Linked DNA regions of Drosophila melanogaster. The protein of the gene in region 1 interacts with the protein of each later gene in a pairwise test. Each region holds a gene or a part of one and is shown on either strand. Other genes may lie near its edges.

What was found.
Region 2: the proteins of Setd3 (region 1) and Vm26Ab interact in a two-hybrid assay, tested with the Drosophila melanogaster proteins (one large-scale study listed by BioGRID).

The regions. Positions count from the first base shown.
Region 1 is NC_004354.4:6,963,306-6,971,982, forward strand, and holds the start of Setd3 (SET domain containing 3), read right to left. Parts: upstream 5,446-8,677; 5' UTR 5,288-5,445; coding exon 4,419-5,287; exon of another isoform or gene 2,488-4,418; coding exon of another isoform or gene 1,427-2,487; intron 995-1,426; coding exon of another isoform or gene 1-994. Other genes in the region: CG14431 (uncharacterized protein), read left to right, coding at 1-994, 1,427-2,487; CG4586 (uncharacterized protein), read left to right, coding at 6,713-7,671, 7,780-8,677. UniProt on the Drosophila melanogaster protein: Protein-histidine N-methyltransferase that specifically mediates 3-methylhistidine (tele-methylhistidine) methylation of actin at 'His-74'.
Region 2 is NT_033779.5:5,953,022-5,960,024, forward strand, and holds Vm26Ab (vitelline membrane 26Ab), read left to right. Parts: upstream 1-3,982; 5' UTR 3,983-4,044; coding exon 4,045-4,551; 3' UTR 4,552-4,618; downstream 4,619-7,003. Other genes in the region: CG9044 (uncharacterized protein), read left to right, coding at 1-36, 395-1,456, 1,514-1,980; CG13999 (uncharacterized protein), read right to left, coding at 2,593-2,702, 2,760-3,013, 3,071-3,204; CG13998 (uncharacterized protein), read right to left, coding at 3,491-3,784; Vm26Ac (vitelline membrane 26Aac), read right to left, coding at 5,025-5,570; Vm26Aa (vitelline membrane 26Aa), read right to left, coding at 6,813-7,003. UniProt on the Drosophila melanogaster protein: Major early eggshell protein secreted by follicle cells into the perivitelline space and incorporated into the vitelline membrane. Involved in vitelline membrane biogenesis; forms a cross-linked network with other vitelline membrane components.

The DNA.
Region 1 (8,677 bases):
GAAGATGAGCAGGATCAGGAACAAAGTCAGGAGAATCAGGAGAACCAGGAGGTGGTGGAACCCGATTCCAGTGAGGCAGAGTCTGGAGAAGGCATTCCGCCCACCGAGACACCAGAACCACCAGCTGCTCCTTCCTTTGCGCCCGGAAGTCCGCGCTATCGTCTGCGAAATTCCAGTGTGAAAGAGAATCAAAAGCGATTAAAGGATAACTTTATAGGGAGCAATAATGGAGAGAGTAGTGAGGAGGTGGATCCGGTTGAGGCTTCACCTAGTTCTACCACATCAGCTACACCATCAAACAAAAACAGCGAAGAACTTAATTACGGAGAGGACGAGCTGGAGAACTTTTTCGACGAAGTGGAGAGTCACACGCATCACACTCGCGTGCCAGCACCACCAGCACTTGCGCCTGCACCACCAGCAAGGTCGCCCACTCCTGCAGCAGCAGCACCACCACCTCCACCACCACCACCCTCTCCCTCCTATGAACCACCACCACCGTCCTATGCACCACCACCTTCTTTATCGGCGGCAAAGCCACCGCAATTGAATGTCATAGACGATGTGGACGACCGCACCGATCTGCTGGAACTCATTGAGGATCGGCGGTCGGGTAATCGACTGTTTAAGGTTCTGGAGCAGCGCAACATGACCCTGGAGGAGCTGATCGAGCACCGCAAACGCGGCTCTAGCCAACTGCATCTGTCCACCATCGTGAACGGCGGCGATGAGCACTCGCGTCTGTATCCCGGCCAGAAGGTTCTGCTGCAGGATAACATGGACATTGTTACGGCCTTCGAGAACTTTCCGCACTTTAATCTAATGGATCTGAAGAGCGTCAAGCCCGATGAGATCAAGACCGACTCGCAAGGCTCAAGCTACTTCACCTCCATCATCGATATCGAGCCAAATGACGAGGTCAAACCGATGGGAAGTCGAGGTATTACGGCTTTAAGGTTGCGCCAGCAACGCCAGCGATTGGCGGAGGCCAGGGGCGTGGCAGGAAGAGGGGGCGGGGCCGGGAAAGGGGGCAGTGGCAGGAGGGGTGAAAGGTCGGGATGAGGTCTTTTGCTCCTTCGCGGGCTTCCACATATAGAAACATTAGCTAACAACAACTAAATATATATTGAAAGTACGAGTAGTTGGCATAAGCCCCTCAAAACAATAAAATCTAATCAAATAGTTTGCTTAAGTTCAATTAGAAAGTAGAATTGTATTGTAATGGCATAAATAATTGTTGGTTAAATGGATTTACATAAATAGCCATTAAGATCCCTGCCTGCCAGCTGCCCTATGATTCTTCCTAACTTGACCCTTTACTTTTTTGAATTGCCTTCAAAGACTAAATAACTTCCTCCGTTTCTCGCCCCGCTCGCTCTGTCTTAATCTCGTTCAGCTTCCTGTCGCTCAAATGCTTTCCTTTCAGGTCCCGCCTACGCACAGACATCTTCCTCATCGGCGACCATTGGAGCCGGAACTGGAACCATTTCGATCAATTCGCGTGGCGAAAAGTCGCTGGGATTCTTCCCGTCGTGGAAGACGCTGGCACTCGCCTCCTTGGCCACGGCCACCGAGGAGAGGAATCCTTATTTCCTGCCACCGCCTCGACTGCTGCTCGACGGAAGTTCCCAGGAGGCGGACTCCAACGTTGATTCGGAGCCCACCAGCATTGACATTGATCTAAGCGTGAGTCCTTATGGCGGCAACTCCTCCTCGATGGCGGATAACAGTCGGCTGCCGCCGAATAACGATGTGATCGATGAGATCGAGAACGAGGTGGCGCGGGCACACGATCTCCTGGATCTGGAGCTCTCCGGTCCGGGATTCCATCGCAGTCCTGCTGCAGCGGCGGCCACATCCGCCGTATCGCAGCAGCATTTGAGCAGCTTGTACGCCAGCATGCCATCCGGGATCAAGTCCGCGATTGTGGCCAGCACGGCGATAGTGGTCACCGCGTTGGCCACCTTCCTGGTCATCTTCGTCGTGTGCCGATGGAAACAGCAGCGCAGGAGAAAGAGCAGCTACCTGCGCACCTACAATGCGATGAAGAGCAAGCTGCCGCAGATGGCGCAGCCATCGCGTCGTTCCTCGATGCGCCAGCACATGGAAGAGCTGGTCATTGGATCCAGTTCGGGAACAGGGGCTGGATCTGGATCAGGATCGGGATCTAAGACGGGCATAGCCAGCATCTCCACTTCGGTGGCCTGTTGCACGCCCGTTCATCAGCTGCAGCGGCAGAGTTCAATGCTCTTTGCCCGCGATGGATCCGCCACGATGAGCACCGCCACCTCGCTGACCACGAATAGCACCACGAATACCACCATTACAACGGGGGCGCAGCCACCTGCTCCACCGGAGGCGCTGAGTGGGCGTGGCCTGGCCATTTCGCTGAGAAGTGCTCAACAGAAGCTGAACACAATGGATCCCAGTTCGCCGGAGGTGCAGGAATATCTATTCGACACACTGCGCAAATCCTTCGACAATTAGGCAATAGGCAGTAGGCTCCTCTAGTAACAATAGACCGTTGTTTAGGCCAAGTTTTATATAAATGTACACTTAACACACACACACACACAATGACATCCCCCCAACACACACAAGCATACACACTCTAACGCGAAGGAGCAAAAGTTAGTCGATTAATTAGTTTAAGCAGGTAGGAGGTGGAATTTTTTTGAACTCGATTAGAGGAACATTCTGTGAGAGAAAGTAAAACTAACAAAAAACCAACCTAGAAAACACATTTAGACAGTGCGTGGCATGGCCATAAGGCGCTTTGTAAGAAAAGGTTCAAAAAGATTGTGCAGACATACAGTTTAAAAAGAATAGTGTTCATTTTTAAATATTTTCATGACAGATTGGAATGTAAACTGTATAGTCCACTTTATGTTATTTATTTTTACTTTATTTATTTTCTGATTCATTTGTATCGTTGTAGACCGCAAAACCTAGTTCAATCCGCCCTACGTTTATGGCGCGCACTGTTGCTAGTCTCTAAGCTCGGCAAACTATCGTTTCCAACTATCTAGACCTAATGTACGATTATGATCCATCAACTAACGCGACTCTATCAACTAAATCATAGGACACGGCATTCAAATGGGTTTCTTAGCACGAGATAAAGACGAAAACTAACTTAAATACAGAACAACAGAACAGGATCTTAGCCAAACAAGGTACAGTTGTGTTCAGACACTTTCCCAAAAAAAGGCCCAAATCGAATAAATATTGAAATTCGAGAAAGCAAAATAAAACCATTTATGAGGACAATAAATATTAATGAGGAAATTACGAAAACAAAATAAATAAAAACCAAAAGAAAATGAAGAAAACTGTGTTCGATACGATTTAACTGAAGCAAACTTCTTTCTGGCACTGACTAAAATACCAAAATTTAATTGAATTTAGATCAAGGCAAGGCATAAATGGGCGCTATGTGGGCGTGGTCATTAGCACAACAATACCAACAGCAACAACAACAACAACACTAATATTTTAAATGCGCAAAATGTACTGCAAAAACCAAGAAGTGAAAATAGATGAAACACCTGTATTTATTTCGTAGTGCAGGCACTTTATTTTTGATTTGATTTTCGTTACCACCCCCGCCCCTCTCACTAGGCAGTAGAACATCTGGCGACAGTATATATATATATATATATATATTTATATATATAAATATAATTATATATTTAAGCACGCTCAAATATGTATGTAAATAAGTTTCAATTTGATTTTTTTGAGAAATAAAATGTAGAACAAATTGTGGCAAAGATTTCAAGCATTTCGAAAGCACTTGACTAACCGCATGACTCGCTGGGGTTTTCGACCACAACCGAAGATTGGTGTCGAAATCGCGGCACTATAAATACAGAAGCGAGTGGAGAACCAGAACCACAACCACAACCAGACCCATCCCAGTGCACCATGACCCAGCCGTCGCAAGTGGAAGCGGATCCGTAAATAGATCGTAGATCTTCGGCAAAACAATGCGATCACAATGCCAGACGGGAAGGTCAACAATGGTCGGGCAATCTGGCCATATGCATCTACTCTCGCTTTAAAACAAACAGCACCAGCTGTAAGTGAACATGTAATTTATGGCCAGTGGGACAACTGGCAGATTCAGAGGCCTCTCTGCAGCAAAAACAAGCCCAAACTAAACCGAAAAACACACTTAGGGAAAGATCAACACGAGGGCAGGATTTAAAAATGGAATTCCGGAAAGGTATACAATATTTCTATTTCTAGGCCAACTGAAAAGATCTTCAGAGCAGAAAACTTGGCCTTAAGCCATCTTTTTAGCACAGAATCATATTTCTTCTTAAACTTAGTAGAACAAACTTTAAAAGTAGCGATATTTTTTTAAGGCACCTTTAGCACCTTTATTGCAATCCCAAATCTCAATCGAAACTCACCTGTATAGCTTGTAGCAGAGTCCGTGCTGCGTGAAAAAGAGGCCTCTTTCGCCCGGATGGCTCCTGTTCCCGGTGCTCGGCTCAGTCATGGTGTGGGCGTACTTGTAGAGGAAGGCGTACTGCTTGGCGATGACGCGACACTGACGCATTGCCAGAGCGGCTGCAGCGGTGCCCCGGAGGAGCTCCATCTGCTTGGTGGTAAAGTATAGCACGGTGTTGTATTTGGCAGGCAGAACATCAATGTAGGGCCGCCACTCGCTGAACTCGCCACGGATCTTCTCGATGACCAGATCATAGGCCAGGTTCAAGTGGGTGGCCTGCGTCATTTTGCCAAATAGGCGGCAATCGGAGTTGTTTTCCTCGGATAAGATGAGCTTCCGGGGCACGCTGAGCACCAGCTCATCCTTGGCCAACGGTCGGGTGGCCCGCAGACCCAGTTGGTAGCCGGGAAAGATGGCTATCTCCAGTCCCTCACTGTGAACTCCGCCATCTTTGGCCCACGCACTGAACGCCTCCACTTTGGCCAGACGGGTCTGATCGTCGGGGGAATCGCTGATCTGCGGACACACTGCTTGGCTGAGTGGCTCCTCCAGGATCATGATTTGTTTGAGCAGCTCCTGTAGCTGCCCGTACTGCTTCCATTCCTCGTTGGGATTCGCCGGTTGCTTTTCCACCAAGTCAAGCAGTTCCTCGACGAGCTTGTTTAGTTGGCTCCTCTTTTTGCCGTTTAAACTGGGCAACGAACTGGCCGCCTGCTGGTCCTCAAAATCCTCGACTGCTGTGCCGGATGCGGATGCAGTTACTCCGTTTTGTTGTGGCTGCTGTTGCTGCTGTTTTGTCTTCTTGTTGCGCTTCGTGTTCTTACCCATGGCGGTGCCGTTGGTGGGAGCGAGAGAGAAAGACAGAGAGAGAGGAAGACAGAAAGCTAAGCGGTACCGGCGGCCCAAAACAACAACAGCCAAATAAGGAAAATAAAGTCGAGAAATCTGCACGCGGGCGATCAGCTGGCCGGCAGTGTGGCCATTCGTCGGGCGCCACTAAATTACTCCGACAATTGGTCACACATTCGACGAGCTTTTATGCTGAAAACTTTTTAATAGGGGTACTCCTAAGCTTTTTTTTATTACAAAACTTATGTTTTCTTGTAAAATAAATTGTAATTCACGTTGCATTTTTGGCACATCAATAATATTATAATAATTACTCTTTATAGTTATTAAAATGGCCAGTGTTTTTTTATATTTTATGTTGCATTCTTGAAGAGCGGGAAATTTAAATTGAGAATTTGTCCTAAAATCCAGGTTGCAGAAGCTCGTATGTATAATAATATATTTATTTATTTATATAAATAAAATCGCTCTTTCCATGTCTTTTAGTTTCTATTTATAAACAATTTGACAATGGCCCATAGGGTTATCTTAGATTTTCTAAACGTCATCCAATTGAGAAACGTTATGTTGATAACAAGAAATCCACGAAATAAAAATGTTATTGTACGAAAAAGAAATAATTGTTTGTTGAGCTTTGTGGGTTTTTGCAAAACAAAAACAACAAGAAATATTTACGATTTTCTTATCTACGGTAAAAAAAACTTGAACTAAAAAACTAGGAGATAATGCCGCTCATCAGATGTTTACGCACTTTGTGCCATTTTTGGCTAGGGTGGACCAACACACAAATCAGCGTTTGAGTTAATAGTAAGAAACAAATTCCGTCCAAATATACAACCTAGGATACGAAATCTAAAACATGATAAGTGCATCTTGTAAGAAAGACGCAGTTTGAGAAACTTTCGACAAATACGGAATATGGTCCACCCTAAGGCGCTCAAGCAATTTGAGAGTGGCTCAGTTCTCAGTTCAGTGACTCCAATGCAGCAACAACGGCGGTTGGAGCACCAGCGGGCAGAGCGCGAAAGAGAGGCAGTGGTGGGGCTCCAAAGGCGTAGGCAGGATGGACCATCCAAAGGGGTTCCAGATCGCCTCTTCTGTATAAGTTATCCATAAATAGCTTATACACTGCATCCTTTATGAGTATAATGTGGTAAATGTATAAAGAATCCCGGTATATTAATTGGCAACTCATCTTTAATTTCGGATCACTGATAACCAACCATATTCCCCTGCTATCCCCGCCTTTGGTGACCTGGCTGCCATGTTTCGAGCTGCAGAACTGTTTCTTCCAGCCACCAACTTCTCAGTGCAATCGAGTCGTTCGAGCAGAGAAGTTGGGAAATCCCGTAGAAAAGTAAAACTCTAGGAAAAGAGAGATCGGGAAGGAGAGATAGAGCGATCATGTCTGTGAATGCGGATCTGCAGAGAGAGCGGGCGGCGGCCACCTTGGACAGCGAGGACTTTGCCCGCTGGTGGGCGGGTGGCTCTGGGCAGCTGGAGGAGCGCCGCGCCCTGGAAAGGCGTTTCTATGAGGATCCCGACTTCGCGGAGCCAGTGCATCCGAGCTGTCTGTCATACAAGGAGCGCTACGAACAGACCGTGGCCCGATCCACACGCTTCCTGGCCAAACTGCGCCAATGGCAGCGGGAGAAGCAGCCACAACTTCAGCTTAGTGTGAATATGCTGAGGGACTTTCGGCTGCTACTCTCCGGATCCCTGGGCACGGGCCTCTTCCAGCAGAGCTTCCCCCTTCGGGTGCATTTCTCCATGTTCATGACCACCTTGCTGAGCCAGGGAACCGAGGAGCAGCAGGCCCAGTGGCTCAATCGATCCTGGCACATGGACGGCGTCCTGGGCACCTATGCGCAAACGGAGCTGGGTCACGGCACCTTTGTCCGGGGCCTGGAAACCCGAGCCGACTACGATCCCATCACGCAGGAATTCATCCTGAACACCCCAACGCAAAGTTCATACAAGTGGTGGCCCGGCGGACTTGGTAATACCGCCAATGTGGCCATTGTGCTGGCCCAGCTATATGTGAAGGGCAAGCATTATGGCTTGCAATCATTTGTGGTGAGGATCAGGGACGAGAGGACACACGAACCGTTGACTGGAGTCGATGTGGGCGATATAGGACCTCGCCTGGGTGGCAATGGCGTTAACAACGGCTTTCTGGGACTCCGCGACGTGCGGATACCGCGCAATCAAATGCTGATGAAGAACGCCCAAGTCCTGACCGACGGCACCTTCGTCCAGGGTAGACCTCCGCTGCTGCTCTACGGCACAATGGTCTATGTGCGGGTAATTACCGTGAAGGATGTGCTCTTTGGACTGCTCCAGGCTGCCACCATTGCCACCAGGTGATTATATAGTTTCTGGGGATTATGTTTATCATAGCTGTTATTAAGCCCATAAAACACATTCAGCTCACCCAGGGTTCTTTAGATAATAATTATCATTATCTTTAGGTATTCCGTGGTGCGTCGCCAGAGCCGGATTAACAGCGATCAGCCGGAGGTCTCTGTTTTGGATCACATCACACAGCAGGCAAAGATTCTACCGCAAATTGCTCGAGGAGTGTCCTATCGCCTGGTATCCGATTGGCTGTGGCGCTTCTACGAGGACGTACTCCGCCAACTGGAGGATGAAAGCACGAAAGGACGCAACTCCCTGCCGGAGCTGCACGCCCTGAGCTGCTGCCTCAAGGCGGTGGCCACCGACGAGGCCAGCGAGGGAGTTGATCTGCTGCGCAAGAGTTGCGGTGGCCACGGATTCCTTTCCTCGGCGAATTTCGATAGCATCTATGGTCTGACCGCCGCCACATACACCTACGAGGGAGAGTACACAGTACTCCTGCTCCAGACAGCTCGTTTCCTCGTCCGGCAGTATGCGGATAGCTTAAAACGCAAGGTGCTGCCCTCCAGTGTCTCCTATTTGAGGGATACAGCCCGTTTGATTTGGGGCAAGAATCTGGTTGCGAATTGTGTGCGAGCGCTGGAGATTTCAGCCATGGAGCAGGTGCGTGATGCTTGGCAGACCCAGAAGATGCACCAATCCGGCAAGGTGAGTCCCGAGATGGCCAGCAATCTGGCTGGAAGGCAGCTCACCTCGGCTGCCATAGCCCATGCTCACGCATTCTTCACACGCAATGCACTGGAGCAAGTGGAAGCACTTCGAAAGAAGGGCGATCTTAGCCCGAATGTCTCACTCATCTTGGGCCAACTGGTTGAGCTTTTCGTCATCGATACATTCCTGCGACAGTCGGGATGCGTGCTGCGTTGGAACAACGGCATCACTGGCACCCAACTGCGCTTCGTGGAGCGTCGCTTTGAGGAGCTGCTGGCCAAGCTGCGACCCAATGCGGTG
Region 2 (7,003 bases), on another chromosome or scaffold:
CACCCAAGCTTAGGAGTTTGACGCAAGCCACCAAAAGTTAATATGCCAATTTGTATACTTTTTATTTCACTTAACAATTTGCGTTTCGCTTTTGTTCCATAATGTGAAGCAGCATTTGGACGTGAAGCAAAGATAAGCTAACCTACTAATAGTTCTTGGACGACGACGTCGTTTACAAGTCTTATAAAATTTTATTGCACGTCTTGAGCCTTGGTACCCAAAATTATGTATTATCTGAAACAAAATTTAGCTGTTTATAAGACCTGTAGATACCGACAAATATATCAAAATTTAAGCAATAGCTAAAGCTTTATTAATCTTAGAGAGCAATGCTGCTTCCATTAATAAACAATTAAGTTAATTAGAGCACCAGACTAATATTTCAACATTATAGGTTCCGCCAATTCGCTAAATGGAAGCAGCTCTTGCTCAAAAATTACCAACTCACAGAGCTCTTTCGACTCCAATCAATCCGTAGTGGGCAGCTCGAACACGGATCGGGATATGGAGTTTCGAGCCAACGAAAGTGATGTGGACATCATCTCCAATCCGAGCCAGTCCAGCATAGAGGTACTAGATCCGAACTACGTGCAGAGCGCCAGTCGCAAGACCTCAGAAGAGCGCCGCATATCCCAGCTACCTCATCTGGAGACGATACACGATGAAGTAGCGAAATCGAAGAGCTTCATCGAACGCGAGTTTGGTCAGCTTCTGGCGGAGCAGGCTCAGCCTACGACACCTTCGACTGCAGCTCCCTTGGCTCCTGCAAAATCGGCTGTCCCATCCCATGTACCGCTGACAGAGAGCAGCTCGTCGGGATCCGTAACGGACAGCATATGTACTACCTACGAGCAGCAGGCCACTGATGCGCCACAAAATCTACAAAATTCCCTGCTCACCGAGTCGTCAAACAGCCAAGTTAGTGGTTCGGATGCGGAATCTAATAGCCGTTTGAAAAGCGCCGAGGATGCCAGCCTGCTGCCTTTCGCATCTGTATTTCAATCAACCAATCTGCTCATGTCCAGCTCAAAGAAGTTGATCGAGTCGGAGGCAACTGTTTTTGGTACCCAGCCGTACAAGTTTAACTACAGCGACTTTAATGATATCGATCACCGTCTGAAGCTCTACTTCTACCAACGAAAGTTCAAAGAGGATGGCGAGCATTTCAAGTGGTTGGCCAAAGGTCGCATCTACAATGAGCAGACCCAATCCTTGGGAGAAGGGCTTGTGGTAATGTCCAACTGCAAGTGCTATCTAATGGAGGCCTTTGCAGAACCCCATGACGATGTGGCCAAATGGCTGAGGCAGGTCGTCAGCGTGGCAGTCAATCGTTTGGTGGCCATTGATCTGTTGCCCTGGAAACTTGGCTTGTCCTTCACCTTAAAGGATTGGGGAGGATTTGTCCTGCTGTTGCATGACATGCTGAGGACGGAAAGTTTACTGAATTATTTACAACGTGAGTTAACTTTTTGCATGTTGCTTTTTTCCTAATACTTATTATATTTTTTAACAGAAATTCCTCTGCCTGAGCAGTGCAAGCTGAATCATCAACCATCTGTCACACTCAGCCATCAGTGGGAAACTATTGCGTCCGAACCAGTCAAGATGTGCTCCCTGATTCCCAGCTGCCAATGGATCTGTGACCAGGAGAAGAGCTCCTTTGAACCCTCCCTGCTCCTAATCACGGAGACACATTTGTACATCTCAGGAAATGGCAAATTCTCGTGGCTGTCAGATAAAGTTCAGGAAAAGCCCATTCAACCAGAACTTAGCCTTAATCAACCACTGAGCAATTTGGTCGACGTGGAGCGCATTACAGACCAAAAGTATGCGATCAACTTTATTGATGAGACGCAAAACAGGTGCGAGATATGGAAGTTGCAGTTCGAAACGCATGCCAATGCCGCATGTTGCCTGAATGTCATCGGAAAGGGATGGGAGCAGCTATTTGGAGTGCCATTCAGTCTCTCTGGAACGTGAGGAGCGAATTACACTAGAAAATTGAATATAGCCTGTACCAATTATTGTGCAAAGTTTAAAATTGTTGATCTTAATTGACTATGTTATTTAATGTCAGATTAGTTTTATTAACTTAGGCTAGAGCTTTCAATCAATAAGAAATGGTGCTGTACCACGATTTAAATGTAAATATTTATAAATATAGAGGTTATTATTTTTTGAAGTCCTTGCAATATATTCATATATTACAGAATTAAATCGTCTAAATTGTTTTATTTGTTGTTAGATGAATTATAGTTGGTATCAGTAAGTTGATATTACATATTTGCTTCTATTTACACATGAATAATATTATTGGAAACAAAAGAACTACAATATTGTCAAGGAATTTTGTTTGCTAATTAAATAATATTCACACGTGAGTTATAAATGTTATATGCATTTAAACTCGGTCGGATTTATTTTCGACTTATCTGTTAGTGCTATCTACTTGATAATTTCGGCATAGAGGTTTTTCATTTCTGTTTTAAATCGGATGTCTTTATAAACTATTATCTATTTCTATTAATTATCTATATACAGTACACTTCTTATGCTGACTCACTCATCGAAGAGTCCACTTAACCAGGTGTCTTACTTATCGCCCAGCTGATCTGCGATCCAGTCAAGATGCTCCTCCTTGAAGCGAGGATCTGCCATGGTCAGAGCCGTCGACTTGGAGCTGTAGTAATAGAAAACCGACACTGCGGGAAAGAGGAAGATATTAGGATAAGTGTGGAATGAATATTTCCGGAACTCACTGATGCGCTGTGCCACTGATAGGGCAATCAGACCCAGTGGCCAATGATGACCGTCCTCTTCTGGCGGCTGACGGTATTGGTAGATGATCCAAAAGTGCTGGGAGGCGGACAGAAGGAAGTAGATGGTAATGCTGGCCATGAAGAGCTTGCAATTCCGCAGGATTATGTGCGAGGCGCCGACCTGGTACACACACGTCGAGTGCAGGGCGAGGGTGAACAGCAGGTACTCCGCGATAATCAGGGCATCCTGAGTGCTGTGGTAACGTGCTGTGTTCAGAAAGGATATCTTCTCCATTCCCTAAGATACTCACACAAAGAGAATTATGGCTGTCTGCAATCGGTTTCTGGCCAGCGAAGGACCAAAGGCGTTGCAAAAGAGGTCCACTCCCAAAAGGGCGAACTGGAACAGGAGCACCCAGGAGTAGCGTCGCAGTGTTAGCTTCATGGCGGTGTCCAAATGTCAAGCGCTTGTTTTCGGTCAATTTGTTGCGTGCTGACTGTGCGGGGGTTTGTTGTGTCCTTCGTCCTGGTGACGTCAAAGCTACCACTGCGGTCATGCGCTGTGGATTTGTACTATCCCCTTATCGATAGACAGATTTCCATGGAGAACTGGTGAAACTTTGAAAACGTGTGGAAGGCATTGGCGGGAACAGAAATGGGTACGTATTTTTAAAGACCAGGTTACAAATTGGAGTCAGAAAACTATATATTATTCTGGGTTGCTTTTATTATCAGACATATCGAGCATATTCAAAAGGGTACTGCTGCCGTTTTCCCGATCGGAAGGTGTCCATTCTGCCAGCCTGTCGCCGGAATCTCCTGTAGTACTGCTGGTTCATCTCGGAGTAGAAGTTTGTGGGCAGTAGGTGAGACCAACTGTGGTCGCCTTCACCATTGTGGCGGTCCAGAAACTGGAACATCGATGCGGAAGTGACTTCGGCAGCCCCTGTGCGCCAGAATGGCCAGGTTGGATTTAAGGTCACCAGAGCCAAGACCAGAAACCAGAACGTCATCGTCTTAGCCATTTGTGAAGAGAGCTGTTTGGCCAAAACCCGGCACCCAATACCCTCCTCCAAAGTCGACTGCCGGTTGCAGGTGGTCAGCAGATTTCGAGCCGGGGTGCTTCCATTTGCATTTTTTTCGGAACGCTGTCGTTCTACTCCGTCAGTGCGATCAGCGTTTTCCGAGTGGGCTATAAAGTGGATTGGCTGGGAGGCTACAATCAACAGTCAGCCTTCGTTCGTCACTTCAGCAGCAAGTAGAGACAGCTCAAGAACCATCCGCAATGGCATTCAACTTTGGTCACCTCCTCATCGCCGGCCTCGTGGCCTTGTCCGCCGTGTCCTCGGAGACCATCCAGCTGCAGCCCACTCAGGGCATCCTCATCCCCGCCCCGCTGGCCGAGAACATCCGTGTGTCGCGTGCCGCCTACGGAGGATACGGCGCTGCCCCAGCCGCCCCATCGTACTCCGCCCCAGCCGCTCCCGCTGCCCAGGCCTACTCTGCTCCCGCTGCCCCAGCCTACTCCGCACCCGCTGCTCCCGCCTACTCCGCACCCGCTGCTCCTGCCTACTCTGCTCCCGCTGCCCCAGCTTACTCTGCCCCAGCCGCACCAGCTTACTCCGCACCCGCCTCCATTCCGTCGCCGCCGTGCCCCAAGAACTACCTGTTCAGCTGCCAGCCCTCCCTGCAGCCCGTGCCCTGCTCCGCCCCAGCTCAGTCCTACGGATCCGCCGGTGCCTACTCCCAGTACGTGCCCCAGTACGCCGTGCCCTTCGTCCGCGAACTTTAAGGATCGAAACGAATCTGACTTGACATCTGAACCTAAGAATAAAGTAATGCTTTCATAAAAAACATTTAAGATATTTTATTGAAGGGGTATCAAGGGTTTTATTGCTTTTCTACAAGCTATTAAAAAAGTTTCAGCTCTCTGAAATAAATATAATTATTACCGATATGATGCAACAAATTTAAGGTTTTGTGTTTTACTAGTACACCTTTTTTTAAAAAGAACAAATTCGTATATGCAAAACGAGTAATGGGCTGTAAGCAATTTTGAAATTCTAGAACACTTTAGATATATCTTGTTATTTATCGTCTTAGCAATGATTAAAGCGGCACAAAAAGTTGCTCCCAATTTTGGTCTAAAACTAATCCTGTTTATATATTTAATAGTGCCAAACAGAAGTCTTAAATAAATAATAAATATTAAAAAGATTAAAATATTGTTTAAAATTTTCACTTTATTAAAAATCAGCTAGTTCATCAATATGAGCTGTACCCACATGGAACCGGCTTGATAACCGCTTCGCAGGAGAACACATAGTTCTTTGGGCAAGCTGGAGAAGGAACTTCACTGAGTGTGGTTTGTTGTTGGTATGTTCCCTGAACCGGTACCTGGGCCTCATCCTGGTCGTAGCTGCGAGCGAAGCCAAATTTGCCACGTCCAAAACCAGGACCTCCGAAGCCGGGACCTCCGAAACCGGGACCTCCAAAGCCGGGACGTCCAAAGCCAGGGCCTCCGAAGCCCGGACCTCCGAAGCCAGGACCTCCAAAACCAGGTCCTCCAAAACCAGGTCCACCAAACCCGGGACCACCAAAGTTGTTCTCCACGATTACCTCCTGTACGATTTGCTGTTGCCTCCTCCTACGGTTCAGATACGCATCCGAGGGCTCGACAGCTGATGATCTCGATGGCAGGCTCCTTAAGCACCCTGTACTTCCTCCACAGGTCGAGGCTTCCAAACCAGCCTGCTGACCCAGAGAACTCGCTCCGGCCAAAAGGGCAAAGAATCCGAGATACTTCCACATGCTGACTTGATATGGTGGCGTTGCAAGCTGAGAAAGCCGAGATGCGGCGTTGTTCAAGTGGCTTTTATAACCTCATGCCACCAGAAGTGCACAACGAAGCGGAAACGGAGATGGCCAAGGTAACACCCAACAAGTGGGTCACTTGGTCGCACATTCCAGAGGGCGAGTGGGATCAGAATTGGGGCGAAGTTGGAAGTTCGAGAAAATGGGCCATTGGCTAGAAGGGGTTAATCCGCTGGGAGGGCCCAAGTCACTACTTGGCTGGGCTCGGAAACCCTACGAGCACCTGAAACCCGAAGGTCAGCACATTGTAGCCACTGCTGCTTTCCGGCTTGTAGGCTGACCGACCAGTCAAGCGATTGATGATGGGATCCGATATCGCATTACCCAATCGCTTGCACTTTTCACTTTTCAATTTTCCGCTTTGTCGCTGATTCGGATGTGTCGCAAGCATTTCTTCTAGCTAAAATATACATTTATGTACAATTTAATAACTATTTTGTTTGGTACCAGCATTTCCTGCAGTTCAGTGACCCACAACGAGCTGCTTGGCACAAAGGTTAAAAACTGAAAGTTTGCTTAGTTACAATCACCTGTATCTGGCGGATGTAGATTTAATCGGATTGGGAAAAGCTGGAGGCAGTAGCCGAAACTACATTTCCTTTTTCAGGAATTTAATAGCTAACGATTTTAAAATGGTTTTATGGTGGTTATAAAATGGTTATAAAATAAATTATTTTAGTACAAGTTATATAAGTTAACTTGGAGAATAAAAACATTGGGTTTACTTCAATGATAAACGTTGATTAGGTTACTAAAATAAATTTTGTCGTCAATTATCTAGTAAGATGATAAAAAGACAGTGCAGCAAATATACTTAAATGCTTCATTTTGGGAATGTTTAAAGAAAATGTTATACTTGGGACTTTTAATATATATAAAGTTATATCAGAATATATATCTTTTATCAAACAACAGCCTGGTAGAATAATAATATGATTTTGTTATTACCAACATTATCTTGGAATGATAATCTAGGCTTGGTCTTCTTCTATTGGTTGCTAGAAACTACAATAGTTATACCCTTAGTAAGAACAATTCATGATTTAGCTTTTTTTTAGTGATTTAATTGCAGTACATATTTTTGGGTATATTTTTTGTCAAATCCATCAAAGCTTATGTTTCTCGGCAGTCGGTTCGTGGTCCTTGGGCGATGATCGCAGTCGCAGTCGGAGCAGGTGCTTAGTACTGGTAGCCATAGGTCTGGGGCACGTAGGCGCTGTACAGCTGCTGCTGGTGCTGGGGCACGCCGTAGTTGGGGGCGACGTAGGTGGCCACCGGGGAGGAGTAGGCGCCGGCGGATCCGTAGCTGGGAGCTGGAGCGCTGCATGGCACGGGGGCAAGGTTGGGCTGGCAGCTGAACAGGTAGTTCT